Schizosaccharomyces pombe: one gene and its partners. The protein of the gene in region 1 interacts with the protein of each later gene in a biochemical or structural test. Each region holds a gene or a part of one and is shown in the gene's direction. Other genes may lie near its edges.

The links.
Region 2: the proteins of hst4 (region 1) and swi3 form a complex in vitro, tested with the Schizosaccharomyces pombe proteins (one study listed by BioGRID).
Region 3: the proteins of hst4 (region 1) and swi1 form a complex in vitro, tested with the Schizosaccharomyces pombe proteins (one study listed by BioGRID).
Region 4: the proteins of hst4 (region 1) and myh1 form a complex in vitro, tested with the Schizosaccharomyces pombe proteins (one study listed by BioGRID).

What each region holds. Positions count from the first base shown.
Region 1 is NC_003424.3:2,189,585-2,196,636, reverse strand, and holds hst4 (histone deacetylase, Sirtuin family, NAD-dependent Hst4), read left to right. Parts: upstream 1-3,021; 5' UTR 3,022-3,155; coding exon 3,156-3,348; exon of another isoform or gene 3,349-3,473; coding exon 3,474-4,528; 3' UTR 4,529-4,573; downstream 4,574-7,052. Other genes in the region: CENP-A chaperone, CHD family Hrp1, read right to left, coding at 1-1,620; CENP-P family protein Fta2, read right to left, coding at 4,574-5,629; vps66 (acyltransferase), read left to right, coding at 5,916-5,940, 6,128-6,392, 6,457-6,730, 6,792-7,052. UniProt on the Schizosaccharomyces pombe protein: NAD-dependent histone deacetylase, which contributes to both telomeric and centromeric silencing, proper cell cycle progression, DNA damage control, recombination, and genomic maintenance.
Region 2 is NC_003423.3:3,089,052-3,095,553, reverse strand, and holds swi3 (replication fork protection complex subunit Swi3), read left to right. Parts: upstream 1-3,697; 5' UTR 3,698-4,026; coding exon 4,027-4,193; exon of another isoform or gene 4,194-4,251; coding exon 4,252-4,630; 3' UTR 4,631-4,695; downstream 4,696-6,502. Other genes in the region: zuo1 (zuotin), read left to right, coding at 1-560; ncb2 (transcription corepressor), read left to right, coding at 1,219-1,261, 1,301-1,743; isn1 (IMP 5'-nucleotidase), read right to left, coding at 2,155-2,241, 2,292-3,214, 3,264-3,471; SPOM_SPBC30D10.05C (sepiapterin reductase), read right to left, coding at 4,814-5,557; chaperone protein Mzm1, read right to left, coding at 5,920-6,161, 6,221-6,281. UniProt on the Schizosaccharomyces pombe protein: Forms a fork protection complex (FPC) with swi1. FPC coordinates leading and lagging strand synthesis and moves with the replication fork. It is required for programmed fork-pausing which is necessary for mating-type switching.
Region 3 is NC_003423.3:905,755-916,513, reverse strand, and holds swi1 (replication fork protection complex subunit Swi1), read left to right. Parts: upstream 1-1,734; 5' UTR 1,735-1,920; coding exon 1,921-2,868; intron 2,869-2,884; exon of another isoform or gene 2,885-2,943; coding exon 2,944-4,911; 3' UTR 4,912-4,988; downstream 4,989-10,759. Other genes in the region: TORC1 serine/threonine protein kinase Tor2, read left to right, coding at 1-1,243; ATR checkpoint kinase Rad3, read right to left, coding at 4,989-10,759. UniProt on the Schizosaccharomyces pombe protein: Forms a fork protection complex (FPC) with swi3. FPC coordinates leading and lagging strand synthesis and moves with the replication fork. It is required for programmed fork-pausing which is necessary for mating-type switching.
Region 4 is NC_003424.3:3,331,786-3,339,687, forward strand, and holds myh1 (DNA adenine glycosylase Myh1), read left to right. Parts: upstream 1-3,096; 5' UTR 3,097-3,206; coding exon 3,207-3,802; exon of another isoform or gene 3,803-3,901; coding exon 3,902-4,095; exon of another isoform or gene 4,096-4,138; coding exon 4,139-4,734; coding exon of another isoform or gene 4,735-5,442; 3' UTR 5,443-5,929; downstream 5,930-7,902. Other genes in the region: aspartic protease Sxa1, read left to right, coding at 884-2,485; RecQ mediated genome instability protein Rmi1, read right to left, coding at 4,735-5,442; rpl2002 (60S ribosomal protein eL20), read left to right, coding at 5,963-6,493; clathrin heavy chain Chc1, read left to right, coding at 7,351-7,392, 7,433-7,506, 7,563-7,902. UniProt on the Schizosaccharomyces pombe protein: Adenine glycosylase active on G-A mispairs. Has glycosylase and nicking activities and is active at A/G and A/GO sites.

The sequences.
Region 1 (7,052 bases):
TAAGGTCTCGTATAAAGATGATTCACTGTTTTTGAGTCGATGAGCTTCATCGATAGCAAGATATTGCCAGCGAATATTGTTGAGTTCTTGCTTATCTTTCAATATATACTCATAGGTCGTAAGTAGAATGTTAAATTTAAGCTTGCGAGAATTCGTAGAAAGGTAGAATTCATACTCTCTAATATTAGCACGAGATTCCGTATTACCTGTATAGCAAATACTATTCAAATCAGGTGTCCAATTGGCCAATGTTTCTTGCCAAGCCGGAACAGTGGAAAGCGGTACGACAATAAGGAAAGGACCGTGTTGTTTTAAAGAATGGACTAAATAAGATAAAAAGCACACAGTTTGCACGGTTTTACCCAAACCCATTTCATCTGCTAAAATACCATTTTCATTCCGGTGCCATAAATATGCCATCCAGTTTATACCAGTAAGTTGAAAATCACGGATTTCCCCCCCTTTAATGTAAGATGGTTGCTTTTCTAACTTGCGGTACGGGGGACGGGTGTTATAGAAAACACCTTTATAAGGGAGATACGGACTGTTTTCACGTTGCAAGAATTGATAAACTTCATTTGGTGCCATAGAATAAATTACGTCGGCATCTTCCCATGTGCAATTATCATAAGGAAGCTGCCTCCACTTTACAAAGTATTCTGTTTTTCCTTCTTCGTTAGTTTCAGAAGCTACTATGCGTTCGACAATTTTATACTCTTCAAAAAGCATATTTTTACGTTCGCGTTCAATATCCAGAGCTTCGATATCTTCAAAGGTTGTAGTTGGATCTTCACGAATCTCGCGATCATAAATGATGTTTTGCTTTATATAATTGTCGACTTTTTTGTAGCCCCTCACAGAAGAAAGCGTAGAATAATCTTCCCAAGTATTATGAAGATGGGAAACTTCCTGCCATTTAATTAAATACTGATAGCTAGACTTCGGGTCATCGTCTTGTGCATCCGCTCGCTTTCGGTGATTTAAAACGAAATCAATAATAGGCTCATATTCCTCTTCGACCTGTTCTTCTACTTCCTCTTCTTCGTCCTCGAAGTCGTCGTAAAATTCTTGTTCATTGTAGTTGACGCTTTTACCTTTTGAAGATCGCAATGAAGTACGGATTTCGGTTCCGGAAGCAGAGTTAATACTGAATCTATGTCTCTTATCATATGCGTCTTCATCATCGCTAGCCACAGACTTTTTTTGCTTTGGTGCAGGTTTGCTCTTTCGTTTTTTAGGAATCGGAATTTCATGCTCGTCAATTTCAGTATAAGAGAAATCACGATAAACGGGTCGTTTAGCCCTTGAAGAACGTCTTGTACCATCTACTCTAACATCGTCAGAGTTTTGCGCATCGTCAATTTTAGGGGTAGACAAAGCAGAAGATACAACTGTGCTATTAGCAGTGCTGGTTACGATTTCAGAATCATCAAAGGCAGAAGACGATAAAGATTGCTGCGAAGCGAAAGAATTTTCATGATTTAACAGGCCATTCATGCTAGGTAGAGAATTTGTTGTATTTCCAAACTGAGGATCAGTTACTGCAGAGCCATTTAAAGTAGACTCTTGAACGCTCGTAGGATGATTTTTTAAATCATAATTCGAATGTTCAGGCTCCATTCTTGTTACTCCAGAAAATTTATATAATGTTAAATGTTGAGAACGTCCACAAAGTAGGCGCTCCTTTGCAGACTCTCTTTTAAAAGCTTAAAATGCTTTTTTTTAAATATATATCTGGATATTAACAGTGAAGCAACAAAGGATTAATAGGAATAAGCAGTATGCCTATAAGGCTATTAATTGAAATTACTATGTTGTTGGCAGAAATTAATAGTGCAAAAATATGCAACACTATAAATGAAATGCCAGGCAATGCAGGTGATTTTGGTATCAAATTACTTCTCCAGAGTCCCTTTTTATTAATAAAATTTACCTTTTGAGAAGGATTCACTATTTTTACTCATGCAATTTCCACTCTCAATTTTTGCGAAAATGCAAGACCTTTACAAACAAAAAAATCCTTTGCCATAAAATGTACGAGCTATTCTCATTCACTCCATGGAAATTAAGTTAGCTTACAATTTTCATTTCCGGTTCGTATTTCCGAGCAAGTCTGCAGATTTTATTTCATTTTCAAATTAACTGTGCAAAACGTGAAGGCAAATTCGTATTTCATAAAATGCTTCAGTTCGCATGCTTTTATTAAATTTAAAGATCATTAATTTCAAAAAATTTCTATATATTTTATTGTTTACTATCCCATAACGTTAAATAGTTTACACAAAAACGTCGAAACTTTTCACATAAACGTATGCTTCTTTGTTTCAATTGTTCATGAAAACATAATGTATTTATTTACTTCTTTAATTACAATTGAGAGGGGAATCGAGACAGAGAAAACAATAGTTTCTGAAAGAAATAAACTAATTAAAAATTTGACCGATTGGTTTTACTAAATTTTTTTAACTGCATGGATATTTTACCAAAGATTCAAAGATATATTTATTGGTTTTGTTATTTTTTTGAGAATTTTATGAAAGACTTCACCTTCCAACTTTTTCAATTAAATGTCAAGGAAAAATACTGTACTTAAAACTCTTGAAAGTTTTCCCAATATTTAAGAAAATGGAACTTCAATTGTTTTTTTAAATTTTTGCAATCCCTTTTTGTTTTAATATTTTTATTACCAGTTTCTGTATATATTTATTTATTTCATTTGACTATTTAGACAATTTATATATTGATAGAAGGAGAAATCTCAGAAGGATTATTGAAGACTTAATTTTATTCTTTTTATTAATGTCAGCATGAAAGCTGATTTTCTAGTCTGAACATTTTATTAAATGGGTAAAAACAAAAAAATCAGTACTCTAAATAAACATTGGTTCAACGGCATTTTTAAAAGTGAATAGAGAAAAAAATTGCGATTACTGTTATACAAAGACATGGCGAAATTGAGTCTTTCAAGCGATATAATTGTCCTTCAACGGCCTTTCGAAACGTACGTAGACACAACCGCCTAACCGTCAATCACAACTTAATTCCTCAACCATTCCATTTTAGGAAGAAGTCGAAGAGTTCAATGATTTTAATATATTTTAATTAATGCACTCAACTTTTTGGATTTAAAAAATTCCAAATTTACGTAGCTTAGTATGAAAGTGGAGGAGCACGTCCCTCTAATACAGGAGTCGAGGAAGAGAAAATGCCAATCTTCTGAAAATGCTTCGAAAAGGCAGCAATTACTTTCCAAGCTTCCACTTAGACTTCATACAGGCAATGAAAATGTCGATTTATCTCCTTTAGTTTCTGCCATTCGCAAGGCAAAGCGCATAGTCGTTGTTACTGGTATGTTGCTTATTTATGGTTTTCCTTCTTTTATTTTAACTTTTCACTTAAAAAAAAAGTGGGATTAAAAAAAAAATTAAATATTATAATCGTACAAAGGCTCATTTACTAATACGTTTAAACAGGTGCTGGAATTTCTTGTGATGCTGGAATTCCTGATTTCCGTTCCTCTGAGGGTCTTTTCTCCTCCCTTCGTGCGGAGTATAAATTGAACTGCTCCGGGAAGGAATTGTTTGATGGATCTGTTTACAGAGATCTTAAGAGTGTTAACATCTTTCACGCAATGATTAGAAAGCTACATATGCTTTCTAATAATGCACGCCCCACTGATTTCCATTTATTTTTATCTCAACTAGCCCAAGAATCTAAGCTGTTACGTTTATACACACAAAATATTGATTTTTTAGAAACCAGACTCGAGGGCCTTCAAACATGTATTCCATTGCCGCAGTCTGCCCCTTGGCCTACCACGATTCCTCTTCACGGGACACTGGAAGTTGTAAGTTGCACAAGGTGCAGCTTTTTGAAAAAATTTAATCCAGATATATTTGATAGAAATGGTGTTACTGTTTGCCCTGACTGTAAAACCGAGAACGAGGTTCGTCGTATAGCAGGAAAAAGATCAGTTATCGAGGGTTGCCTTCGTCCTCGGATTGTTTTGTACAATGAGATACATCCGGATTCCGAATCTATTGGTTCGGTCTGTTCACAAGATTTAAAGTCCCGCCCTGACTGTCTAATTGTTGCTGGTACTTCTTGTAAAATCCCTGGTGTCAAAAGAATTATCAAGGAAATGAGCAACTGTGTGCATAAACAGAAGGGAAATGTTATTTGGTTGAATTATGACGAACCTACGAAAGATTTTTTGAACTTATGCGACCTGGTTGTACAAGGAGACCTTCAAATTGCTATTAGACGTCTGAAGCCTTTATTAGATGCTCCAAGTTGGAAACTCAAGTCCCATTCTGCCAAAAGAACTTCAAAACAAAAATCTTCCGAACAAACAAAGATTACTTCTTCCACTAAAATTACGAAAGCTATTGGCTTGAACACGAAAAGCAATGATAGTTCTAAGAAAGATAACACTTCTTTTCAGTTGCACCAAGTGCTCAATAGTATTGAAATACCCAAGGTGGAAATTAAACAAGAAGTTGAATATGCAACCCCTTCTCCGCTTTAACATTTAGCTTCAATAAACCATGTTAAAAATATCAATTTATCCTTCTTACCCCAAATGAGGTTTAAATAATGCCTGTAATAATAGTAGTGAACCTTCTCTGAATCCGAAAAGCGATACAAATTCCGAAAAACGTTTGTCTAATTGATTAAGCAACTTTGATGTGATGCTTACAATTTTTTCATTTTGATTCTTTAGTATATAAGAGATGCAGTAATTAGGTTGTACAAAACCAAGATCATCAAATTTTATCTCATAAAGTATTGTAATTTTGTAAAAGGAATTTTGAACATAGAAACATTGAGCGTCCATGTTTGCTGATGCCACTTTTTTCATATGCTTTGATAAATAAAACCACGTATTGCAGCGATATGAGTAATGGTGGGCAAATAATGAGAACGCTCTCAAAAGAGCTACTATATCGAGACATTGTATTGCAGAGTCCGAAAAACTACTGAGCTCTTTTCTAGCAAAATGCGGGATTTTATAAGTAATAAATAAAAGAGCATAATCGATTGTTCGGACCTTAATTTCTAGTAAAAATTTGAAGCTTGGGAGATATTCTATATCTCCTTTAAGAGAATGATGAATGATTTTCTCGGATTCCGCTTCAAATTCATGTTGTGTGAAACGAATGGATGATATGGACGAATTCAATTTAACATGTTTTTTGGGTTCAGCAGATGGCATAACTTGCTTTGTTTTAGGATTATCAGGGTTTTCGGTATTATAAATTACTACAGAGGAATCAATCTCTAATAATGATTTTATAAATCCGCTTAAAAACGAATCGTCGCGTTGGTTAATTGCATTTCGTCTAACCCTCACCTCTTTCTCAAGAAGCAGGGTTTGATGTACAAGGTTACTCCTTTTGCGCAAAAGATCCATTTTTCTGTCAGTGTCTACTCTTCCGTTGCTAGATTTGGATTGTCCACTGTTTTCATTAGGCCTCGCTCGTGAATCTACGCGAGGCATGCCATTTAAAGTAGTATTTGGGCTTCGGTGAGCAACAGTACGTTTTGTCTTTTTTTGTTGCGAATCACTATCATCACTACTGCTAGATCCTTCTTGTTGAGAAATTTGACTATATCGCCTACCGGACATTTTGATATTTATAGTCGTACGCGATAATAGTATCAGTATTACTACAATTAACAATGCTCGTGCAAAAGTGTTTTAATACTTTTTATGCAACATTAATGAAAAATCCAAAATCCTCAAATGGTGGAACAAATGCATATAGTATATAGTCATGGTCAAAGCAACACTTAAACCTAGAAGTGAATCTTAGTAGCTACCACTTTGAAATCACTACTTCATTTTTACGACTGAAATCCATATTACTCTACTAAAAATAATATTTGTAATATTTTATCATTTTCATTGTGAAATGGAGAAATTTACTCGCTGGAGAGGTAAGAATATGCAATACTTTAAATGCTTGATTGTTCACATAAATGTTGTTTAAATAGAACGCAAAAAAAAATAAAAGCAAAAAATAGAAGCCAATTATTTTGTATTATGATTCTTGACTTTAAGATCGAGTGTTTGTCAATTTCTCTTAACAAAATGACTTTAATGCAGATTCATTAACCCTTTTAGATCCGGGAACGGGCATAGCTCCATTCCATCCTATAAATACAGAAACTCCTAGTGGATTTAATTTTAAATGGATCCTTATAGTTGTTGTTATGATATTGCGAGTTCCTCTTTGCATCATTTCTGTAACATTATGGTTTCTCTGGTCTTGTTTTTTGAAACCTATACTATCTATACAGCCGAAACTTAGTTTTTTTATTGATTCGAGTCTCTCCCGTTTACTCCTTTTATGTTTTGGATGTCTTAAATTATCAAAGTCAACTTCAGGGTATGCCCATTAAGTCCCTCGTGCATCTTACATTTTTTATTTTTCAGAAACTAATCATGAGTAGAAGTTTCGTTCAGGGTGATAGCCTTCAACCGGGTGATATCTTGGCAGTGAATCATTCAAGCCCTTTGGATGTACTTGTGTTGTCTTGTTTATATAACTGTACTTTTGCTGTGTGTGACTCAAAAACTTCGAATGTCTCAATTATTAGTGCTCAGGCTTATTTTTGGTCGTGTTTCTTTAGCCCTTCGAAACTAAAGATTACTGATGCTAAACCTCTTGCTAAAGTTGCTGCAAAGGCATCAAAAATAGGAACTGTCGTAATTCTATTTCCAGAGGTAAGTGAAATATTACATATACTTGTGTTTTCCTAAGAAAACAAAGGGCTGATCATTTTAGGGTGTTTGTACAAATGGAAGAGCTTTATGTCAGTTTACACCGTGCTTTGATTCTGCTAAGGAAACAGATAGGATTTTCCCTTTGTATATAAAGTATCTTCCTCCCTGTGTTACCCTACCGGTTCCTTCCCTTTTGAGTTTTGCACGTTCCGTTTTGTTGACAGTTTCGTTCGAAATTCGCATTCGCTTTTCAGCAGAACCTCTGATTCCCAGGAATTGCACTGATGTAACAGAATCAGCGCAAGAAGTTCTCTCCAAATTA
Region 2 (6,502 bases), on another chromosome or scaffold:
GTTCGGAACGTCAAAAGAATAAGGCTCGTGATAATGCACGCCTACGTAACCTTGTTGATACTGCATTGGCTTCTGATCCTCGTATTAAGCTTTTCAAAGAACAAGAAAAGGCTGCTAAGGCTGCTCGTAAATGGGAACGTGAGGCTGGTGCACGTGAAGCTGCTGCTGCTGCACAGAAAAAGAAAGAAGAAGAAGAACGTCGTGCTGCTGAAGAAGCTGCTGCTAAAGCCTCTGCTGCTGCTGCTAACAAAAAGGCTAAGGAGGATAAAAAGAAGGCCCAAAAGCGTGATAAAAAGGTTGTCAAGAACGCTCTCAAAGACTTCAACTATTTTAGTGCAACTGACGTTCCTTCAGCTGAGCATGTTGACAGTGTGTTAAAAGACGTTGATGTTATCATGTCCAAGTTAGGTGAAGGAGAACTTGGACAATTAGCTGCTGACATCAATGCTGAGAAAGCTGCCGGTGCTGCTTCTGTCCAAGCTGTTTTTGACAAATTTGCCAAAATGTTTATTGAACGTGGATCCATGTCATCAGCCGACGTTGTTTTCTTTGCTCAGTAAGTTCATAACAAAAAAGGTATTGGGTTTAGCGTGAGTTTAGAAATCAAATTTGGTGCCATCTTTGTTTACCCACTTTCATTTATACATCTTGAAATGTGTGTTTTTTTTGATACCATAGAATAAAATATTTACCATTCCTTTCTTCTATTATTTGCTATGCTCAGTAATGTATTTTAAAGATTTTAGATTCTTTGAAGTTCTGAAACTTCTATCAATATGCTGATCATTCTATGAGAACTTCAGAGTATCGGGTTTAATTAGCCGGAATTGCTCGAAAATAATTCATTAAATTTTTTTTCATTTATTTTGTAGTGCTCTGATACCCTGTCGTAATTTTGGATTTTCAAAGCACAAGAATAAGCCGTAATCAAATCCATGTCTTTTTTAAATTATTCTGCAAGTATAATCGAGTTGTGAAATTGCCGTCTAATATACTTATAAAATCATTTTTGTCATTCTTTGCTGAATAGAACGAGTCTACCAATACTGCATTCCAGTGTACTCTACGAATATCTTCTTGGACGAAAATATATATATGTGTATGTATAACAAAGCATGCAACGAATCTATACTAGTTTGAGTATTACACAAACCTGCATTCTCTAAAATCGTTTTGCATTACTGAAACGAACGAAATTAGGAATAAAAATTTTGCATAATGAATGATGGTTTCGCGGACGATGAATTGTCCCTTCCCAAAGGTAAAAGAATTGCAATCCATATTTACTAATAATGTGTAGCCACCGTTCAGAAAATGGTTTCCGACATACTTCCAGTGGACTTGACTTTTACGAAGGAAGCTAGAGATTTACTGATAGAGTGCTGTGTGGAGTTCATACATCTTGTTTCTAGTGAAGCTAATGAAATATGCGAAAAGGAGGCAAAAAAAACTATAGCCGCTGAACACATTATTAAAGCTTTAGAGAATTTGGAATTCAAGGAATATATTGCTGAAGCTTTGGAAGTGGCGGCAGAGCATAAAGAACAACAAAAGAATCGTGAGAAGAAAAGTAGCAAATTTGAACAATCCGGTGTATCAAGAGATGAGTTATTGAGACAACAAGAAGAGCTATTAAGCCGAGCCCGTGAGCGTTTTAAAAATCAAAATATTGCTCACGATAATCATACGACAACCGCCATTCCTGTTCCTACCGCATCAGAGACCGAAACAAAAGAAAATTGAGCTAGATGTATTTATGGATATTAAAAATCCGGAATTTGTTTAGAATTTGCTTCTATGGCAAATTATCGTTCATGTCTTAAAGTTACTCTGAAAACTAATCAAGTACATACTGTATCTTTCTTTGAGTTATCACTATTTTTGTCTTCATTTATTTAGAGTTTTTATGATGTGAAATTCATGTATTCAGATTTAATGCTATTCCAAATCTTACATTGCATAATGCGCTATTAAAATTAGCAAAGAAATTGATATCAAAAATCAAAGATTAACAATGTATTGAACGATCATATATCTTTTGATGTCAAAACGCTTATATGGGTATTCATTTTATAAGTATAGTATAGCATTGCTGAAGTATAAGAAGAATATTTACGAATGTGTTTGCAGTATAAGATCTCTCCTCTAATTAAATTACTTTTTTAAAAAAGAGAAATAATAATCTAAAAACTCAATCGTCTCGTGGGGGCTGGATACCCAAACAGTGGTAGCAGCAGCTCTCTTTGAATAGGTGGTTAGTAATCTTCAACAAAAGTTTATTTCAAACTTACCGCTTTATAATCATTGTTACCAGCTGACAAGAATTGATCACCAACATGCAGACAGCGAGAAGGATGGGAAATATTAAAAAAATGCTGAAGGCATAAAACACCCAATTTCTTGTCACCAATATCACACCAAATATCATTTCCACCATTGAAAGCAGTAAAAGGAACTGAGAAATTTCGTATCTGCAACGTTGCTTGTGTCTCCAAAACAGCTTCCTCCAGTTGCTCCCTTCTCAGTTTTTGACCAAGGGAAGGTACAAATCCAACTGATCTTTCTTTACGAACTATTTTTGCATCAATGTTAAGTCCTTGAATGCAAGAACGAAGAGTTTCTTCAGCAGTATCCAAAATTTCGAGAATCTCATCATGAGGCCATGTTTTCATCACGGGAAGCATCCATGAGTCAGCATCCACCCATTGTAAACCATGCAGTGGGTCATAAGCAAATAAGTAATTGCTCTCGCCTCCTAATACATGAAGTTTCCGTTTCTGCCCATCCTTCAAGTCGCTGTCTTCGATTGCCTGCAATAATCCTGAAAATCTATCAGTATACTCCTGGCCAGTACGACTGGGATAGCCAGCAGCAGTAAGAATGATGACATAGATCCCCCTCGAAAGTAACTGAATCAAACGGGATATAACAGGATTGTCAGGAAGCAAAGGCTGCCCATCTTCGTACAGAGTTACATCTCCATCAAAACTGACCATATCCAAGCCATTATCCGCAAGGTAATTCAATTGAGCACCTCCTAATATTGCCCTGACATCGTTAAAACTCGGTGCCACAAAGCTTCGTTTAGCTAGACAAAGCTTTGGTTCCAACGCGTACATAGCTTTCACTAATGGCAAAGGTGTCCAAAATATGGTGATCGATGGAACAAGCATCTTTAACTGGCTATAGGATCCACCTTCTGAAACTATTTGAACTATCAATGAGAAAGGTTAGAAAATTAAAAGAATGAAGGGGAAACTTACTATGAGCCTCAATAAGTTTTTCCACATCTCTTAAAATTACAGCGTAACGCTCAAGCGTTTCCTGCTCTTTTTCGCGCGTTACTAGTTTCTGTGAAGGGGTTCCTGCCTGTAAAACAAAAGGAACTGACAACAAACCTTTAATCCATTCAATAAAATCGTCCTTCCGATGTTGCTTTAACGCATACTCAACACGATATCTAGAAGCCATTGCCTAAACCTTTAATGACAAACACTTATTCAAAAAAAGAAATCTACACGAATGCAAGAAATTTGAAGGAAAGTATGTTAATTGAAAGAGAAAGGGTAAAAGTTGCTTTATTATGCTTTCCGAAACGATTCAAAAATGATTACGTTGAGAATTGTTATACTAGTATTAGCAGCGAGCACTATCACTCAAATACGTCTATCACAATTCCAAAAATTAGCTATAATTTATGAGCATTCTTAACAAAATTTTATAAAAGTATATAGTCCAGGTGTAACATGAGCCTTCTGAACTATTCTTCCTCTACACATTTCTAATCCGCGTTAAATAAGGAATTTTCTTTCATTAGTAAATTATAAACCTTTCTTGCTGCGCAGTTAAATTTGAAAGGTTCTATTCGCTTTTCATTAGCAGTAAAGTCAATAGTACATAGAAAAATTGCTAGATTAACAGAACTTTTGAAGCGAAACAGCAAGCAAATCGATATTTATTGCATTCACTAACTCTCTTTTGCGAAACATACAAGCAAATATATATTTTAAAAAAACACCATAAGAAATGTCTACAGCTGCTTCTGATTCAGGTGTTGAAAAACTCGTCGAGGAAAACAAAAGGGAAGAGGTGAAAAAGAATGAAGAAGAAAAAGAATTTGATTTAGGGTTAGAAGAAAATCCAGATTCTGTAAAAAAACCTCGCAAACGGTTGGCAAAATTTGATGAAGAAAGGTAAGAATTTGGTCGGTTTTCGGAAAATAATTATTGACCACTCGTTTTCCCTATTTAGATTGATTTCTGAAAATGGAATTCCAAAATTAAGGAAAATGATGCGCAAAGTTAAGTTAAAAGGAAAGGGTCATGAGGCAAAAGACTTAAAACAACTATTGGGAATGTATCATATATGGACTCATGAGTTATATCCAAGAGCCACGTTTGATGACTCAATATCGTATCTTAAAACTCTAGGAAAACACAGATCCGTCAAGGTTCGACGTCGTGGTTGGATTAATGAAATTGCTGTTGAAAATGGTTCGGACTCTAATGCTTCATTATTTACTGGTCCATCTTCCAATTCATTAGTGAATTTGACGAGCGGAGATCCATATGTTCAAGATACAGCTGATGATGCTTTTGTCGCCCAAGACAACGATACCCAATTAGAATAGTCACCATTAATGAATGATTGAGATGTTGTTGCAGCTTTGTTTATCAATATTAGTAATCATGATCATTTTTTGGGACTATTTTCAGCTACTTTTATTTGATGTAATGTTTAATTTATTCATTTTGTTTTATTTAAACGAACAATTGTAGCCTCTAACTCCGAAATTCAATAAACTATAGAACATCTAGACAAATGATTTCCATTCTACGAATTGACCAGTAAGCTTTGGATTGTTATTCAAGGCTAGAAAAGAAAGAGCTTTGGCGATGTCCTGAGGAGCCACAAGTTGACCGGATGTTTTAAGTTCTTTGAAAAAATTATGAGTATCTCCACCCATGGCTTCTTTATTGGAATCATTACGGATACTAACTTGCATAGGGGTATCAACAACTCCCGGACGTACTGCCACACTCATTATATCAGGCTCCTCGCTGCCAAGGTTCATGACTAGCATGTTGATGGCGGCCTTTGAGCAACAATATGCAGCCCACGCGGGAAAAACACGAACAGCAGCGCCAGAGGATACAATCACAATAGTACCCTTGGTTTTACGCAAATGCGGGATTGCATACTTCACTGTTTCAACCACACTGAAAAAGTTGATATCAAACAACTTACGCCATTCATTGATATCTGCATCAGCGATTTTGGCTATAGGTTCAAGGACACCTGCATTTAGAATAACCGAGTCCAATTTTCCAAACTTTTTAATAGCAGTTTCGATACTAGCTTTTCCAACCTCCGTAACGTCACCCTTCACGTGAACAAATGAGTCAGGATTTTGAATAAGCAAAGTTTCTAGTTCTGGGGTCAAGGACCTACTAACAGCAATAACCTTGGCCTTCTTCTGTAGAGCTTCTGCAGTAGCCAATCCAATACCCTTAGAGGATCCAGTCAACAAAATAACTTTTTCAGCGGTTTCGGCCATAATGCTTTTATAGAAATTTATAGAAATGTAGGGTGTGAATTACTTTAGTGTAAAGCCAGATTGTGGAACTGAGGAAATATGTTAGCTATGCTATGATTTATATCATGATGCCAAGATAACGAGGTTCCGTATAATCACAATAAAGTAACCGATATAATCTTAATTTTGCTTATTTATTCACGAAAGGAATTGTTATATGGTATTAAAAAACGAAAGTAATGAAGTGCAAATACAAAACAAGCTTGCCATTCCCTTTATTTTTGTTAATGGTCAAACATTACTAAAACAGAAAAAATAAATATGAGTATGAAAACAACATACTTTATTGTATTAATAGAGCTTGATGCAGTAATTTCAAAAAATTACCGAGGAAACTTTTTTTCAGTAAATTGTCTGTTTGTATTAATTTCAGTTGTCTTTCGAATTTTCAAAGAATAGGTATCGTTGGATTGCTTTTCAGCTTGAACGACGTTCCTTCTAAGGATTTCCGCAACAGCATTACCATTTTGGATTTCTTTTTTTGCTTCTTCTGGAGAACAGCACCGATGATTGTGAAAACCAGTTCTGATTTTATCCCTTGCAGCTGCGAGAATCATTGGGTCCCCTAAGTATCATCTGTGAATAAAAAAAAACATACTTGTTGATAGAGGTTAACCCACTTACCTTCAAAAACCGAATTGGATGCTCGCCAAAGATTACGAAAGCATTGTTTAGCAGCTGACATTACTAACGTTCTAAATTCTTTAAAAAATATTTTTAAAAACAAGAAAAAACGGTCAAAAGAACTAGAATTGGTACTGAGGGACTTTAGAAAAGGGATCGATATGTTAATGATATAATTCTTATTCTCTTGTTTAAAGTCAACTCAGGAAAAACTCTGACAAGAGAAAAAAAGAAGATACTTCAACCAAAATTATTGTTATGGCGATTACACGTTATTTATAA
Region 3 (10,759 bases), on another chromosome or scaffold:
TTTACAATACGTTTCTCCTAAACTCTTACATGTACATGATCTTGAGTTAGCTGTTCCGGGAACATACGTTAGCGGGAAACCTGTTATAAGAATTGTAAAGTTTTACCCTACATTCAACGTGATAACATCTAAGCAACGTCCGAGACGACTGAGTATTAAAGGCAGTGATGGAAAAGATTATCAATATGTTTTAAAGGGTCACGAGGACATCAGACAAGATGAACGTGTTATGCAGCTATTTGGGCTTTGTAACAATCTGTTACTAGCTGACCCGGAAACTTTTAAGCGCTTACTTTCAATCCAAAGGTATCCAGTGATTCCTTTATCACCGGATTCAGGCCTTTTAGGCTGGGTTTTGGATAGCGATACTTTGCATGTCTTAATTCGTGACTACAGAGAAAGCAGAAAGATTTTACTCAACATAGAACATAGGTTGATCATTCAGATGGCTCCAGATTACGATCGTCTCACTCTCCTTCAGAAAGTTGAAGTCTTTGAATATGCCCTACTTAGTACTACGGGGCAGGATTTATACCGCGTTTTATGGCTGAAGAGTCGTAGCTCAGAAGCTTGGCTTAATAGGCGAACTAACTATTCTCGTACTCTTGCGGTGATGTCAATGGTAGGGTACATCTTAGGTTTGGGCGATCGTCATCCTTCCAATTTGATGCTGGACAGGTATACAGGTAATATCATCCATATCGATTTTGGAGATTGTTTTGAAGTAGCAATGCATCGAGAAAAGTTTCCCGAGAAGATTCCTTTCCGCCTTACGCGAATGCTTGTTAACGCAATGGAAGTTAGTGGTATAGAGGGGACGTTCCGGATAACATGCGAACATGTTATGCGAGTTCTTCGTACTAATAAGGAGTCTGTGATGGCAGTTTTAGAAGCTTTCGTTTACGATCCTCTTATTAACTGGCGCCTTGCTCCTGCATATTCACCTTCTATCGATGAAAAGCAATCTAACGAACCTAATACACTTCTCGGTGAGACAATTGATGGTTTACACCGGAAACGCTTAAACGAAGAAGGAATTACACTTGAAGAACGTCAAAAACCCGAGATACTCAATCAAAGAGCTATAACCGTTCTTAATCGTGTGTCCAATAAACTTACTGGTCGGGATTTCAAACCCCAACAGCAATTGGATGTACCAAGTCAAGTAGAGAAGCTGATTTTACAAGCAACCTCTATAGAGAACCTATGCTTGTGCTATATTGGCTGGTGTAGTTTCTGGTAGGTGACAGTCCCAAACGTTCAAATTGCTTTTCTGCCGCATCATATATATATTCTATATTAAATAAAGTGTAAATAGTCTTTATGAATGAGTCCTGTAACAATTTATTACGTTGTTTTACAATTTTACAAAATAGAGGAAATGTTGAATTTGACGCAGAATTTTTAGAATTTTGTAGTAGAGAATGCATCTCTTTATATTGTTATTAAAGATTTGCTGCTTAATCATTCTGAAAATAATAAACTCTAAATTTCTACATCTGAAATTGTGAAAATTATTGAAACTAAATTCTAATTATGCATTGTACAAGTTAGGTAGCAAATTCGTTTTGTTGAGTCCATATTATCGAATTTTATAATATAATACTGAATGCCATTTTAATGCGATTTAAATTATAAAGTGTTTTACTTTACACACATTTTTTTAAAAATCCAAGTTATTTTGAAAAGTTAAATATTGTTTTAAAAATTTATTATTCATTGTTTACTGTCACCACCCCTCTTCACGTATCTACAATCAAATTTACTTATCTTAAAAGAATACGATTATTCATGAACATAATTAATATCGCTTAATTATTAAAATTTATTTAATTTCTTAAATTTGGTTTATTTATCGACGCATACCGACAATACAAAAAAAAGGAACTTGAGAGCTTTTGATTTAACAAATCAACTTGAATGGAATTAGATGAGGTGATTCAAGGCATTGTTTCTGCCATTGGAGGATTTGACTATTCAGACGATGAAAAAGTGTACGTTCTTGGTGATGAAGCTTTGGCTTGCCTAAAGGATCTGAAGCGCTATCTTCAAGTAGTCGATGAAAAGTACAAAGTTTGGCAAATTCGATCTTTGCTCTCGAGCTTACAGTTGGTAACTAATGATATATGTCCAATACTCTCTGACTGGGATAAAGACATTACTAATTACAGAAACTGGCGTATCGCTTTAGCTTGTGTTGAGCTTCTTGTACCATTAACATGGCCTTTGGAGACTGAGCATGAAACATTCAGAGAAAATGTTGATGTTCTCTATAATCTGCGTCAAGCTCAATCAAATTATAAAAATTCAATTTTATCTTACAAGAAGGGGAGCGTTTTATCCGCCATTTTAGCTGTTTTACTAAAGCCCTTAAGTACTCCCGCAGAATCCAGAACACTTAGAGACAAGGGAATAATCAGGATAGTGCTGTTACTATTTCGAAACATTCTTCAAATCGATGAATTAAAAACAAAAAATGAAACAATTATCTCGTTTGCGAAAGCTCATATATTAGATTTGATTGTCACACTGGTCTCGAATCTCGATGAATTTGAGCATTTTGATGTTTACATATTAGAAATAGTCTACAACTTGATCAGAGGTTGTAAGCCATCAGCCCTTTTCTCTGATGCCTCATTGACTAACTCTCAAACCGAACTTAATAGCTTACTCCTCAAAGAGTCGACCCAAAATCGCTATTTGAAACGAAATGCACATACGAGGCATAATAGATTTGGAACCATGCTTTCTGTTCAAACTGAAGACAGAAGATTTACTATTGCTAGCCAAAATATAAAAACCGACGGCCTTGATGAGCTTGACTCTCATAAGCGTTTTCGAAAACGAGGAACACGTCGAAAACATTTTGTATGTACTTAGTTAAACACGATGTTTGTTTAAATTTTTTTTTCCAATTCAACTATTCTATTCTAACAATATTAGGATGACATAAACAAATCGTTCTTTATCAATACCGAGGCAGGTACTGCATTAAGGAACTTTGCTGTCGAATTTTTGGAAGCTGGATTCAATCCATTATTTCAGTCTCTCTTAAAAGACTTGGAAAGAGAAGATCCTCGTGTGCTTCCAATTCATAAAATGCAATTATTATACGTTCAGTCATTTTTTTTGGAATTCATGAGATTTTCGTCTAAACCAAAAAAAACAGAAGAAATTTACTCTAATGATTATAGTTTTGGCTTAGCAGCCTCCGTTTTTGACCAACGAGCTTTGATTATGCACAACAGGTTAATGGTAGAATCCTTTGAAATGAAACAATGGAGCACCTTCCAAGCATCCATGCTTTCGATGACTCAATTACTTTTCACTCTTCGAAGTATGACACTTTGTTCCTCAGAAATTTACCAAAGAATTGCCGATAATCTACTAAGCAATATCTTTTACCAAGAGGAAATTCTTTTACTTGTTTATAGCGCTTTAAAGCATTTTAAAACTCAGTCCTTTGGGTATTTAGATGCAATAACTGAGCTAACTATAGTGCTATTAAAGGAGCTTGAGAAATTTAGCAGTGCTAAACAATATCTCTATGTGAAAAAGAGAAGGAGAAATCAGAAATCTGTTGATAGCAATGTCTTGGAATCGGATGAAGATGAAGAAAGCAGCTTGATTAATGCTAATGCAGCCGTTGAGGACCGTCTGTTTGATTTCGGCAGATATGAGTCTAGGTACTGTGATAATGGATGTATTGATAGTTTCGTGCTGTTCCTTCAATGTTACCAAGATCTGGATTCAAAACAAATTCATAGGGCTATTTCCTTTTTTTACCGCATTTTCGTGAAGCAAAAATGCCATGTTTATTTGTATCGTCTCGATTTCCTACGTGTTCTGGACAAAATGTTTAATGACCATGTCTATTTTTCTACTACAAATTCAGCAAGACAGGATTTTGAACAATTTTTTGTATATTATATGCGAAAGCTTTCAGATGCATTAAAAGATGTACCAGCACTTTTTATTGAGTTGCCTTTCCCAAAATTAACCGACACATTTTATTATCTGGAATATGGAAAAAGTCCACTTTTCTCTATTCATGGTTCGAGAAAAGGCCCGTTATACGAGACGGTGCCTGGCTTATCACATTTGGAAAAGGTGGCTGCCGTTGTTGCATGCCTTATAAATGAAAACAAAAGTGATTTATTAGATGAATTGAAAGTTCAACTTAATTGCCTCATTTCAGAAAGAAAGCTAATAACGCTAGCTGACGAGAACAAATATATAAATGAAGGTGGAAATGATGGTGAAAGAATGGGGAAGAATTTGAAAGGAGACACAGATTCATTTAATACGGCCCTTTTGAAAGACGGAAAATTTCGTCTATTATTAGAATTATGTGGATTCGAAGAATCAGATAACAATATAGACGTTCAAGCACTATGGAAATTACCAAATTCTGTTATAATTGATGAACTTGTTGAGCATGCCATGTTGTTGAGAAGGTTTACTGATGATCCGCCGACGTTTGAAGGCACCAAGCCCGAAGATTTATTAGTGAGGAAGCAAAGAGGAAATGTTCGTTTACCATCAAGTAGTGAGGGTGAAACATCTGACGAAGAAATTGAATTTGAAGCAGATGATCCTATAACTTTCGCCAATCGTCGAGAAGCGTTAAATAAGATTACTGACAGAAAACGTAAAAAGATGAAAACTAACGAAACTATTATTGACCATACAACTCGAAAGAAAAAGGAAAACCATTTACGATCTGCAAAATATATTGTTGATTCGGATGATGACTCAGAAACAGATATAGCTTTTTTTCAATCAGAAGCTGCTTTACGAGAGAAAAATGCACAAAAAGCCAGTGCCCTATTTAAGCGAATCGACGATTTAGAAATGGAAGGAAAATTACAAGAAATTGAACAACTCAGCGAGAATTCTTCATCGGATTAATAAATAAAATATCTTCGATTCAAATCATAAGTTTAATAATGGGTAGCTTGTTCATTGAAATTTTTGTTAGTAAAATGCTAGAAATAAGCAGCCCAACCAATGTACATTTCTACCAGGTTTTTTGGGTTGACAGCAGATTTGATCAATTCTTGAATTTGCCCTTCAATAGATAAAGGTATCGTCTCCCCTGGCATAAAGCCTTGAAATTTTTTGCGAATTATATCCAAAACTTCATTTGCTTCATTATTCGGGTACTTGCTTGACGACTTCTTTCTATTCCACTCGACTAAAGGATCATGTAGGAAAGACTCTAGTACGCTCATCAATGTATCTTGGTTTGAGCGAAGAAGCCGCATCGTTATTTCGCTAGCTTTCCTGAAACCCCCTTCATAACCTGTCGGACCCATTGCATCTACCATATTATGAGTTAATCTGAACGGCACCTTTTCAGGTTTTTCAAAAGTAAGACCTTTATCAAAAAGACAGTTGAAATCGACATGGATAGCTTCACCTGTAAATTCATCAAACAATATGTTTTCGCCATGGCGATCTCCCAAACCCAAAACGTAGCCAACTATTGACATTACTGCTAAAGTTCGGCAATAGTTTTGTCTACTAGTAACCCAATTATTTGGTTCTGGGAAAGATTCAACAAACCACTCATAAAAAACTGGAGGAAATTTCGGTAAGATTTTCTTTTCAAATATATCACCAGGGTTAGGACTTCGCAGTGCAAAGTCTAAATCAACTTTGATTTCTTGATATGATATGGGAATGTTTTTCTGTCTATAGCTTTTTAACAAAATTTCTCTAAATGGACGAGTATGATTTACCCATTCGATAAATCCGCATTCTTCATTTAAAGGAATAACAACATAAGTTCTAATACACAAGTTCCTTCTGTTCGCTTCTTGATCTTTCCTCAATATTTTACAAATAAGATTATTAAATTCCATCAATCTAGCATCCTTACGAAGATCATCTTTGGGTTTGCACAAGAATGGGTATAAGTTGCCATCCGTACCTCTAACGTACACTTTTCTTGGTTTTTGAAGAGAGTTCATTATATCCACCTCATCCTCAAATTTCAACAGAGTAGGCTGAGTTTTTGGAAATGGATAATGACTAGCTCTGTTAGCATCTTTAGCTGGTAAAGTAATGTCTAAAAATGATTTAGCAGGAATGACTAAATCTACCGGATCATCAAAAGAAAGCCGAAAATGATCCTTTAAGCTCATTTTTACAGATTTACTGTTAATCCTTGTATTGCACAAATTGATTAACTTTTCAGTAATGAGAATTGCAGATTGACTGAGTGCTTTTATATCAACTTTGGAAGACATAGAAAGCTTCCTAGAATGTAAAACATTTAAAATGCTTTTTCCACGAAGCGAGCGCTTTTGAGAAGTCGATTTTATTGTTGCCATTAATTGCCATAGCGTCTCCCCAGGATAAGATGCTACAACGTTTGCAATTATATGTTCCAAAATTTTATAAACTTTATTATTTGGATGGCATACTCTGGATATCATTTGGGATAATGCAACCAGAAAAAAGTATTGAGGAATTTTCATAGAAAGGCGACAAACATTCGAATTCATAAGTTCCAAAGATTTTTTTCTCGAAGAGATAATGTGTTCACGAAAGTACTTTTCGCCGTCATCTTTAGATAAGCGAAGTTCTTCGGCCCCAAAATCAAGCCACAGTGTGAGCAATTTTGGCATACTTTCATATATATGATTTGTACCATAGTACAAAGATCGACCAAATTCGTTAATTATGCGAGTTACTAACTCACCACTTAAAAATCGTTCGCTCTGTTCATTAACTGGGAGCTTTTGTTCTTCTTCATACATTAAAACTCGATGATGGCCAAGATAATAATGCGTATTCTCACATTCTGAGTAAATCTCTACCGCTTTATGATAATACGTCTCCAAATCCTTCAATCCCAGTTGGCCAGCTTTTCCGAGCCATTTTGTAAGTTTCAAGAACACTTTTCCTTTAAGTGGATTTCCTAAAGTTTCTTTACGATTTTTAGGTCTTTCTTCATGCTCATCAACCAAATCAAACATGTTGTTATTAAGCGAAAAATTCAATTCAGAAATAGCTTTACGATGTTGCCCTTGATGCCACCACCATTGTGCGTGCTCTATTGTTGCTAGCGGTTTATCTAAATCCATTGCTTTGAGGATGGCATTGAAGGCTCTTTGAAATTGACCATTTTTTCGAGATATTCTTGCAATCTCGAGATATATTTCAGCAGTTTTCTTCGTGTTTTCAAATTTTTCATAGCCAACTAAGTGAGTGGACAGGATTTGGTGCTTGAATTTACCGTACGGAGCTACTTGGCTAAGCCGACGGCGAAGAACAATATCAAGATTGTCGGAAACAATTCCGTCAGTTTCAGCAATCCTACTAAAGTCATTAATTGCGTGCAGCTTAGATAAAATATCATAACAATCATAGGCTGAATGGGCGCCTGTGTTTGCAATTGCTGTAGCAGCATCAACGTACAAGGGTTGCAGCCGCTCCGTCAATTCAGCAAAAGAATCCTTCCGTAGGTATTGGTAAAATATGCTACCCAATTTAGCTTCGAAAGATTCCAAGTTGCTTTTTGAAAGACACTTTTTTAACGAATCAATAGATAGCGAACGCCATGAAGCTTCAATACCCAAATTTAACATCTTCGAATACTCGTGGTTGTCATTGATTATAAAAGAATCTAAACTCAAAACAAGAGATTCATAATGCCCCGATTGCAGCATGCTGTTAAGCAAACCGATTTTCGCCTTTTTATTTTCAGGATCCTTTTGAATAATAATTTCGTAACAACTCAAAGCCGAGTCCCATGTTCCTGAATTTTCATGTAAAAGGAGTTGTTGATCAAACGAGTAATCATGGAAATTTAAAGACACTGCTTCGATTTCATCTGGATCATCAATTCCAGCATATATTTCCTGCAAAACTCTATAATCGGACTCTAAAGCTGCATATGGAGCTGTAGCATTACGTATGTGTTGCTCCCAATAAAACAATGCACGAGCATGAAATCCACAATTTAAAGAGACAATACCTAATGTTTTTGAAGGAAATCGAGAAAGAAATGACTCAACTTTTGAGATCGATGATTCTCGAGAGGTAGCATCTTCCACCGACATATAACGGTTCTCTTTCCTTGCAATGGCAGAACGTCTATCCCAATTCCTCTTCTTTCGCATGCGAAGCCATTTGTTAAGGTAATCCACAATCTTAAAAAATACATCTACAAATGAGGTGTATCTTTGTTGCCCCACGGAATTTAATCCATCAGGTCCCGGTTGATTAATAACAAGCTGGAATTCTTCAATGACTTTATTAACTTCCAGTTCTGACTCGGTTAAAATAACATTTAAAACAAGAAAGGGAAGAAGAAAACAGGGAATGTTAACCTCTTGGTCTTTCACTACTTTCGAACAAATACCAAATATTTTTTCAGCGTTTTGCGAATGGGCGTACTCCATCAATTTAAGAGAAAACAACTGCATCCAAGTATGAATAGTAACATTTTCTTTATAAATAGGGTACCGAATGTCAATTTTGGGGATTGGTGTTAAATGATACTTGGAAGTTAAAAATGGTATAAGCACACGTTTGGATAAATCAGGCAAAGACATCCAATGTTCTGTTACCACAGTTAGTCCCTTTTTTTTATTAATCACTGCGGACTTGAATCCACCAAGCTTTAGAAACTCTTGCAGAGCATAGGCAAGAAAACCTTGTGCTTTAGTATCAGTAGTAACAAGGAAAGCTGGAATTAACTGCGATTGCATAAAATCTAGAATAAACTTCAAACTTTCTTCTCCGTTTTCAAAGTTATCAAGAACAACTGTTTCTTTAATAATATGTTGAGCCTTGGCGCGGCTGGGATCTATCGCACCCAATTCACCAAGATTTTTTGCAGCAAGATATGATATTTGCATATTTGTTGAAGCATATTTTACACAACAATCTAAAAGGCATCTTAGTAATTGGTCCAGAACTTCGTTGGATATGTCCAAATTTAGTGTGTCATGTAACTCGTCCACCTTGGCTTGAAAAAAAAGTTCTAATTTTTGTAAACCTAAATAACAAACTGGCTCATTTTCGTTAGTTAAACACTTAATTATACTTTGAAGCTCAGAGTAAAAATCTTCATTTTGAAGCGAACAGAATATTTCTTTAGCCTTAAGGCTAAAGCACGCTGAATCCAGACTGGTGGGGATAGCCCACTTTAATCCTTGTAGGCACTTGTGTGTGTCAGAAGAAATAAAATCAAATATTTGAATTACTAGCTCTGCTTCTTGTGGTTCTAAATAAGGGAATAAAGGAGGTAAAATTACAAGACTTAAACCAGCAATTGAACTATACTCGGGCTCCTTGGTTGCTAATATCAAACTGAACCAAGCTTTGATTGCATAAAACCTTAAGTGCTCATTTTGAAAAGCACTTTGTAAATTAGAAAGTATCTGTGGTAATCCAAGTTTGACTGCACCTCCACATAAAGATAACATTTTTTCAATGCCGACAATTGTCTTAATCTTTTCATTAATTGAAGTCTTTCCTTTCAGGTCGTTAAGGATATTAGAAAATTCTGCTAAGATACCCAAAATGTGATTATTAAAAAAATCATAAAGTAATTCCTTATTGCTCAAGTCTTCGTCATTAACCACTTGAGAGACAATCATTGCTACCTTTCTTAAAGCATTTTCAATTTTTTCATGAGGAACATCATTCTGATAAAGCTGTAACAACTCCACAGTAATAGAAATAGGATCAGAGCGTAACAAAGACGTTAAATCAACTTTTTCAAAATCAGAAGTGGCCAGTGAAAGAAGAAGCATCACACTCTCTTCCAAATTAGGATGATCCGTAGTAAGTAGCGAAGCAAGGATTTTATGCATATTGGTAAGGCACAAAGTAGCAACATCACTTTGTGAAAGTTCAGCTATACGTACTATTAACGCTTTGTTTTTAGTAAGTACAAGGAATGGTAAAGTGTACGCCTGTGTTCGAATAAGAAAATCGCCCTCGGAAATATTCATAAGCTGAGCAAATAAACTGGCTATGTTCGGTTTTTTACCCATACCTTGGACAATCGCAACGGACACTGTTGGCCAATATGGAGAAAGTAATTGCCAAACGGATATATGACGCGTCGAGGCAATTTGTTGCAGAGCGCTGAGACCAATGCCTTGATAAAATATTCCGCTGTTTATCACAGAAGATATAACTTCCAATAGTACAAAATGTAATTCTTCTTCTTCTACCACTCTAGATAAGGAGATCCAGGAAAGAATGACCGTTTCTAAAATAGCTGTATTTTCCACCGCCAATATTTTCAACGTATTAAAAATCAAGGCTTTACTTTCCTTGTGAAATTCAACTATATCAAGATTATTAGGTCCCTTAATGAAAATGGGCAAAACTTTTGCAGCAACAACACGTAAACATCTTGAAGTACTGGCTAATGCTTTCATAATAAATTCTCTTAAACTTAACATTGATTCTTTATTAAAGTTTGAGCAATGCTGGCTCCACCGAAAAAAGCCATCAAGCAACAATGATTGTTTAACAGAAGAGGAAATTATGTCGGGATTTTTTAGCAATGCACAAAACAATTCGTGATAAGGAATTTTAAAGAGCGACCGCTCATCAAATAGTAAACAAAATGAGTTACAAACTTCACAACCATGTACTTCATATGTGCGGAAAATACTATTTGTTTTCTCATTCACCTTTGCAACATGAGTACACAAAACTAAAGAGAAGTTCTTCAGGTCGTCCTCACTTATTGTAACATTATGAGAGCTATAATAATCTAACATTT
Region 4 (7,902 bases), 1.1 Mb from region 1:
ATCACTAAATGGTACTTATTTGCTCCCGCAACTACGGTTATCTTTGGTTTTCCAAATCCCGTTACCGTGACACTTTGCAGATATGGTGGTAATATATTTTAATAAAGATATAAACACCATGACTACTATGAATCACGAGATGCGGTAGCCGTTAAATCAATGTTTTTATACAGAAACTTTGTCAAACGAAACTATTGATCCGTCGAACATGCGGTCTTTTTGTGCAGTATTACTTAACACAACTTTTCACAGTAGCCGTTATCTATCTATGTAGAATTCTCCTAATATAACTTGACGTTTTTATCTCAGGCGCTTAGATAACATGTGCTTATTTTCTTCATCTTTGCAGCTAGCTACACTGTATATATATGGGTCTTCATCGGAGTTTCGACAGACATTCACATAAATGGAGAGGCAAATCAATTACTAGCAAGCGAACAAATTAACAGTTTAAGTAATCAAATTGTACAATGTTTTCAAGTAATTTCCGGTAAAATGCTTACATTGATTTTTATTTTAATGGAAACACTTTGGAATACGTTATGTGCATTAAGCTACTACGCTACAATACCTTTATAATGTATAATGAATTTTTAACGTTGCAAAAGGGATTTCCTTTGGATATGAAAGGATTATAACGAAGTTTGCTGTTAAAAGAAAATACGAAAAAGTCATTTAACGAGTTCGGTTCATGAATGCGTCAACTAAGCCGCGAATGGCTTAAACCGCGGATTACGTTGATGTGAAATTCTGGGGGGCACATACTTTGACCAGAGCAAACTACATTAAAGCAGGCGGAAACGCATACACCGTCTATTAGTTTGGAAGAAAACCAAAGCTTGTTGTTGCTCTGATTAATAACATTTCTAATCAATATAATAATATGAAGGCTTCTTTCTTTGTATTTGCAATTTCTGCTTTGCAGGCGTTACAAGCCTCGGTAGCTTCTGCTTATAGCGAAGTTCCAGGAAAACGATCGGTCGTTTTAAATCTGCAACATAGCCAATATGATCATGTGGCGAGGAAACTGGAACGTACCAAAGTACTGAACAAGCGCGATTCTTCGGGATATCCAGTGTTGGATCTTGAGTACACTGATGCTGGCGGTTATTTCGCTAACCTTACCTTGGGCAGCAATGAAAGAGTCTATTCTCTCACTTTGGATACTGGTAGTCCTTATACTTGGGTTACTGCTAAGAACATTACGGCCTTAAGTGCTTCCGAGATTTGGAGTGACACCGATGGGGTGGATGCTGGTAGATCTACCTCGGACATTCGTACTAATGCTTGTACCAACTACACGTGTTTTGATTATTCCAGCACTACCGCCAGGCGTACCAACTCCAGCACCATTGGATTTTTGGCTTCCTATGGCGACAACACCACCGTCCTTGGCTACAATATGGTGGATAACGCTTATTTCGCCGGTCTTACCCTACCTGGCTTTGAATTTGGATTGGCTACACGCGAATATGATAGTAGTCAAATTTCCGTAACGCCGGGAATTATCGGTTTGTCAGTTGCCATGACTATTACTGGTATTAGTTCTGATGACAAGGTCGTTGCTTTTACTCCCCCTACCATTGTTGATCAATTGGTAAGCGCAAATGTGATCGACACCCCCGCGTTTGGAATTTATTTGAATGAAGATGTTGGTGAACTTATTTTTGGTGGTTATGATAAGGCAAAAATCAATGGATCTGTTCACTGGGTCAACATCTCTTCCTCTGATGACAGCACCTTTTATTCCGTTAATCTCGAAAGTATCACTGTTACCAATTCTACCTCCAGTAACAATGTTCAAAGCTCCAAACGCTCCTCTAAAGACATTGAGGTCAACACCACTGTCACTTTGGATACTGGTACTGTTTATATTTATTTACCTGAGGATACTGTTGAGTCCATCGCCGATCAATACCAAGGTATTGTAAGTGAGTATGGTTATGTTGTTATTTATTGCGACTCTTTCTCAGATTCTGATTACATTTCTTTTAACTTTGGCAGCGATGCCGACTTTCATGTTTCCGTTAATGATTTGGTCATTTATCGTCAAGAATCCACTTCTGGTGATATTTGCTATCTTGCTTTGTTTGAAGGTGACACCTCGAGTTACCTTTTGGGTCAATACTTCTTACAATACGTTTATTCTATTTATGATTGGGATGCACAAAAGATTGGTCTTGCTGCTTTAAATAGTAACGCAACCAGTACTGCCAATCATCAAATTTTGAACATTAACTCTGCTTTGCGTAGCGTCACTAGCGGTCAGAGCGTTTCTGCTACTCCTACAGTTAGCATGTCGATCGCTGCTACTTCTTTCGGATCTTCCCTCGTACTTACTGCTTCCGCCAGTCCTTCCTCCACTTCTGTTGATGGCAGCAGCTCTTCGGATTCTAGTGAAGCATCTGGAGCCGCTAGTGTTGGCGTTTCGATCAGTGCTATTGTTCTTTGTGCCTCGACTCTGATCTCTTTACTTTTCGCTTGAGTGCGGTTACTTTTAAAAACTAACCTCAGCCTTTCTCTTTTCAAAAAGCTTAAAATTTTAAATTACAAAACAGCAGTCTTTCGTTACACTGCCGGCTTTTCGTTTCGTTTAACCTCCATGTACAATTTGTACTTTTGTTTTAAAGCCTTTATCTATTGGTATTTTTAGATCTATAATCTATAATTAGTTTCGTTTACTTCAGCTTCCTCTACTTCACTTCATTTATTTTGTTTTAAATTCAAAACCGATGGACTCATAATAATAGTTTTTCTTATGTTATATACCAAAAAAGTGCTTTTATTTGAGGTTATCTCTCAGCTGCATGTCAGTTTATCAATATACCAAACTGTCTAATCTTTCATTTCTGGTATATTAATAACATTTTACAATAGCTTTTGAATAAGTTGAATTAATTTCGTAAAATCAAATTTTTTAAACGGGAGATTATGTGTAAGGATTCATTTTTTATTAGAATGGAATGGTAATAATATTCTACAATATTTAATGATTTAAAAGTAATTTAAGCCAATGTGATTATTATATACTGAGGTATGCAACTTTCAGCCGAACTAATTGCTTACTTGTTTCCACTATTTAAACACTTTAGTTCTACCAAAACCCATCTCTCAACTCCTTTCGTACCCTTCAACACTAGTTTTCTCTTTCTTTTCCGTTTCATGTTTACTTTCTTTTATTAATTGTATATATATATTTAATTTAGATGTCGGATTCAAATCATTCTTTAGATTTGCATTCCTACACACAACTAGAAGTAGAAAGGTTTCGCGAGAGTTTGATTCAATTCTACGATAAAACTAAAAGGATTTTACCTTGGAGAAAAAAAGAATGTATTCCTCCTTCGGAAGACTCACCGTTGGAAGACTGGGAGCAACCAGTACAAAGGTTGTATGAAGTGCTTGTTTCAGAAATTATGCTGCAGCAAACTCGTGTGGAGACAGTTAAACGGTATTACACGAAGTGGATGGAGACTCTTCCTACTTTAAAATCATGTGCTGAAGCAGAGTACAACACACAGGTAATGCCACTGTGGTCAGGAATGGGCTTTTACACACGGTGCAAACGACTCCATCAAGCTTGTCAGCATCTTGCCAAACTTCATCCCAGTGAGATTCCTAGGACGGGAGATGAATGGGCGAAGGGAATTCCTGGTGTGGGCCCTTATACAGCAGGTGCTGTATTGAGTATTGCATGGAAACAGCCAACAGGCATTGTGGATGGCAATGTCATTCGTGTATTAAGTAGGGCTTTAGCTATCCATAGTGATTGCAGCAAGGGAAAGGCGAATGCTTTAATTTGGTACGTAATTTGAAATTTTGAAAATCATTCTACATTTTATTCCGTGAATTTGTTAACCAGGTATCCCAATTTAAGCAAAATTGCTAACCAAATATTTAGGAAGCTAGCCAATGAGCTTGTAGATCCTGTTAGACCTGGAGATTTCAATCAGGCGTTAATGGAGCTAGGTGCAATCACTTGTACTCCTCAGAGTCCTCGATGCTCGGTTTGCCCAATCTCTGAAATTTGTAAAGCATACCAAGAACAAAACGTAATACGCGATGGAAATACGATTAAATATGATATAGAGGATGGTATGAATAAAAAATTATCTATATTTACTAACAATGATCCAAGTACCCTGTAATATTTGCATCACAGATATTCCAAGCAAAGAAGATTTACAAAACTGGGTTGTTGCGAGATATCCAGTCCATCCAGCTAAGACAAAACAACGAGAAGAAAGGGCGCTCGTTGTTATATTTCAGAAAACTGATCCTTCTACCAAAGAAAAGTTTTTCCTTATCCGAAAGCGACCGAGTGCAGGGCTTTTAGCAGGGCTATGGGATTTCCCAACAATCGAGTTTGGACAAGAATCTTGGCCAAAAGATATGGATGCGGAATTTCAGAAATCTATTGCTCAATGGATATCAAATGATAGCCGTTCTCTTATTAAAAAGTATCAATCCCGAGGAAGATACTTACATATATTCAGTCACATACGGAAAACAAGTCACGTTTTTTATGCTATTGCTTCTCCCGATATTGTTACGAACGAGGATTTCTTTTGGATTTCGCAATCTGATCTTGAACATGTTGGAATGTGTGAACTGGGATTAAAAAACTATCGAGCAGCATTAGAAATAAAAAAAAGAAAGGTTACATCTCTTTCAAATTTTAAAGAACCTAAGTTGACATCGGCAAGAAGGATTGTAACGAAAGCAGAGTGCTAATCACGCCTTTGTTTTCGACAATTCTCCTTTTAATTCTTCTATTAGCCTTTTTGGGAAATAATCTTTATCCCATTCTTCAATACTACCGCCCAAGATGGTTGTATTGTTAGGATCCAGCATTAATACACCTCTCCTTACTAGCACGTTTTTTACCAATAATTTTGTTCCTAACTTTGTACTGAGTTGGATGCCCTTGATTGGTTTTCTTTCCAAACCCCAAAATCTCTGACCATTCGAGTCTTCGAGGATTAACCGACACATTTTTTTTAATTCCGATCCTTTTTGTACAGCATCTTGAGCCTCTGTCAAACCATCATCATCGTTTTGTTCTTCATCGCCAGATTCATCATGTACTAAGCGAATTACTTTTTGGCCTTTTAATTTTTTCAACTCTTCCAAATCATTTAGATATTCCAGTTGATTAACAATACTAATTCCAATTTCTCTTACTCGGACAATTTGAAGCAACATGGTATTTTCAATTCTGACATTGTGCTGCTCAGACACGATATATGGAGCTGCTCCCTCGCTTGTGGTGGATTCACGTATATCAGAAGCCACGAGATACTGCATTACTAATTGAGGAGTTGTGTTTGCTCCAGTTGAATGTTTTTTGGCCAAATAATCCAGCAAGCTTTGTAACCACCTGTTTTGAACACGAACCCCGAGTTCGGTCAGCTCTGTACTTAAGGTGGTAGTTTGATTCATAATAGTAGAAATCTTGTAAAATTAAATATCAAAAATATTCCTTTATGTTCGTTTACTTGACACTGCTAGCTCACATGCTATTGACTAAAAAGAGATTATTGAACGAAGGAGGAATCAGCACACCAGTGTTGAACACCTAAAGCAGCTTCAATTGACTATATTGTCCAACAAAGCTTTTCGCAATTACGCAGACTCAAAGTTCTTGCTTTCAGTATTCGATATAGCGTTAATGTAGTAGGTCGGTGTGTTACTGCAAAAGAGAATATAGCCAATGTGAATCGAATCCTATGATTACCAGAGATGGGATCTAATTTTCATAAAAAAAAACAACAACAAAAAGAATAATACCTTTTTTACAAGCCTGTTCAAAATGTAAACAAACGCGCTGTCAAGTGTCGTGTCGGGCAAATGTCTTACGAAACGTAACGCACATTGGTAGACTTCGTTAGTAACAGAGCAGTCACAGAGTATACCTTGAAGAGCAAAGTGAAACTTTTACGAACAACACCAATTGGGGAAAATGGCACTCAAGGAGTATCAAGTCGTTGGACGCAAGGTTCCTACGGAACATGAGCCTGTTCCCAAGCTATTCCGTATGCGTTTGTTCGCACCTAATGAATCTGTTGCCAAGTCTCGTTATTGGTACTTCTTGAAGATGATCAACAAAGTCAAGAAGGCCACTGGTGAGATCGTTGCCATCAATGAGATTTCCGAGCCTAAGCCGTTGAAGGCCAAGGTCTTCGGTATCTGGATTCGTTATGACTCTCGCTCTGGTACCCACAACATGTACAAGGAGTTCCGTGACACTACTCGTGTTGGTGCCGTTGAGGCTATGTATGCCGATATGGCTGCCCGTCATCGTGCTCGTTTCCGCAGCATCCGTATCCTTAAGGTTGTTGAGGTTGAGAAGAAGGAGGACGTTCGCCGTAACTATGTCAAGCAACTCCTTAACCCTCACTTGAAATTCCCTCTCCCTCACAGACGTACTGGTGTTGTCGGTTTGGCTGGCAAGAAGGTCTTTGCTCCTCACCGTCCCAGCACTTTTTACTAAGTATTTATGGTTGCCATATGTAGTAGTACACGTTTGTGTTTCATAAAATACATTACTTCCTTTTATTTTCAGCGTAGCAAATCATCATAGTGAAAGTGAGACATGAGGCGATGAAGCAATAGTTAACCCTATAGTTGTAAATTAACCCAATATTTTGTAGAAAGGTTTGTGTTGTTTTGTTCGTTGTATTCAAATTCCCTATATTGCTTGCAAAACGAGATGTATGACTTGCTAAATGGTTGGCTGATCCCATAGCAATACGAGAATATTAATTGACGAGAATTGAACTTCTTTTCTGCCACATGGTTATAGCATTTCATACGTTTCAAACAGGAGGAATTTGTAATCTTGACCTGGTTCTTTGACAGTGAATGCCACATTAATGATATTGGCTGCCCCTCAGAGATCTACATAACGAGACAAGCCTACATATTTTGCCGTTGTCCCTTCGCTTTTAAAATTGGTTTAGTTCGAAACTCTCGCTGACGCTGAATCGCTTTTAGCTGATTGTAGTCGAGCAGCATAGGTATTCTGAAGAAAAATGAACCATTCTAATGTTCAAAAAATTATTTATAGATTTACTATTAAAATCTCCAATCTTCATCAGTCAATATTCATGATCATATAAATTTACGATTTAATGATATTATATCAGTATACTGTACAGCAAATTCGCTAGGTTAATTGTTTGCTAGTTATCACTATAAAACGCTTATCGTTAGGACTTTTGCAATGTTAACCCCCTTCGATTTGAAGGTCGTCTGTAGTGGGGGTTGGCTCATCCAGCCTTTCGCGATTTCACCTATCCTCTACCTCTTTCTTTCCACCACGACGGGTTGTCAGTGTGGACTTTAAAAATGGCTCAACAATTACCAATACGGTTCAGTGAGGTGTTACAGGTAGGTTTTTAATGTTGTTAATAAACGCTAATGCTTGTAGCTCGCATCCGTAGGAATTCAACCGTCTTCTTTCGGATTTGCAAATGTAACCCTTGAATCTGACAAATATGTTTGGTAAGTATATTTTATCGGCACTTTTATTACTTGTTTGCTAACTACTATACGTGTAGTGTTCGCGATAATCCAAATGGTGTAAACCAGGTCGTTATTGTCGATTTGGAAGATCCATCTAATGTGTTGCGACGTCCTATTTCGGCAGATTCAGTTATCTTACATCCCAAAAAGAAAATTATTGCATTAAAAGCACAAAGACAACTTCAAGTATTCGACTTGGAAGCGAAAGCGAAAATTAATAGTTATGTAATGAATCAAGATGTCGTTTACTGGACTTGGATCAGCGATAGCGTTATCGGTATGGTCACTGACACTTCTGTGTTCCACTGGACCGTCTCCGGCTCTGATCCTGTTAAAATGTTTGATCGTCATAGCTCATTGAATGGAACGCAGATC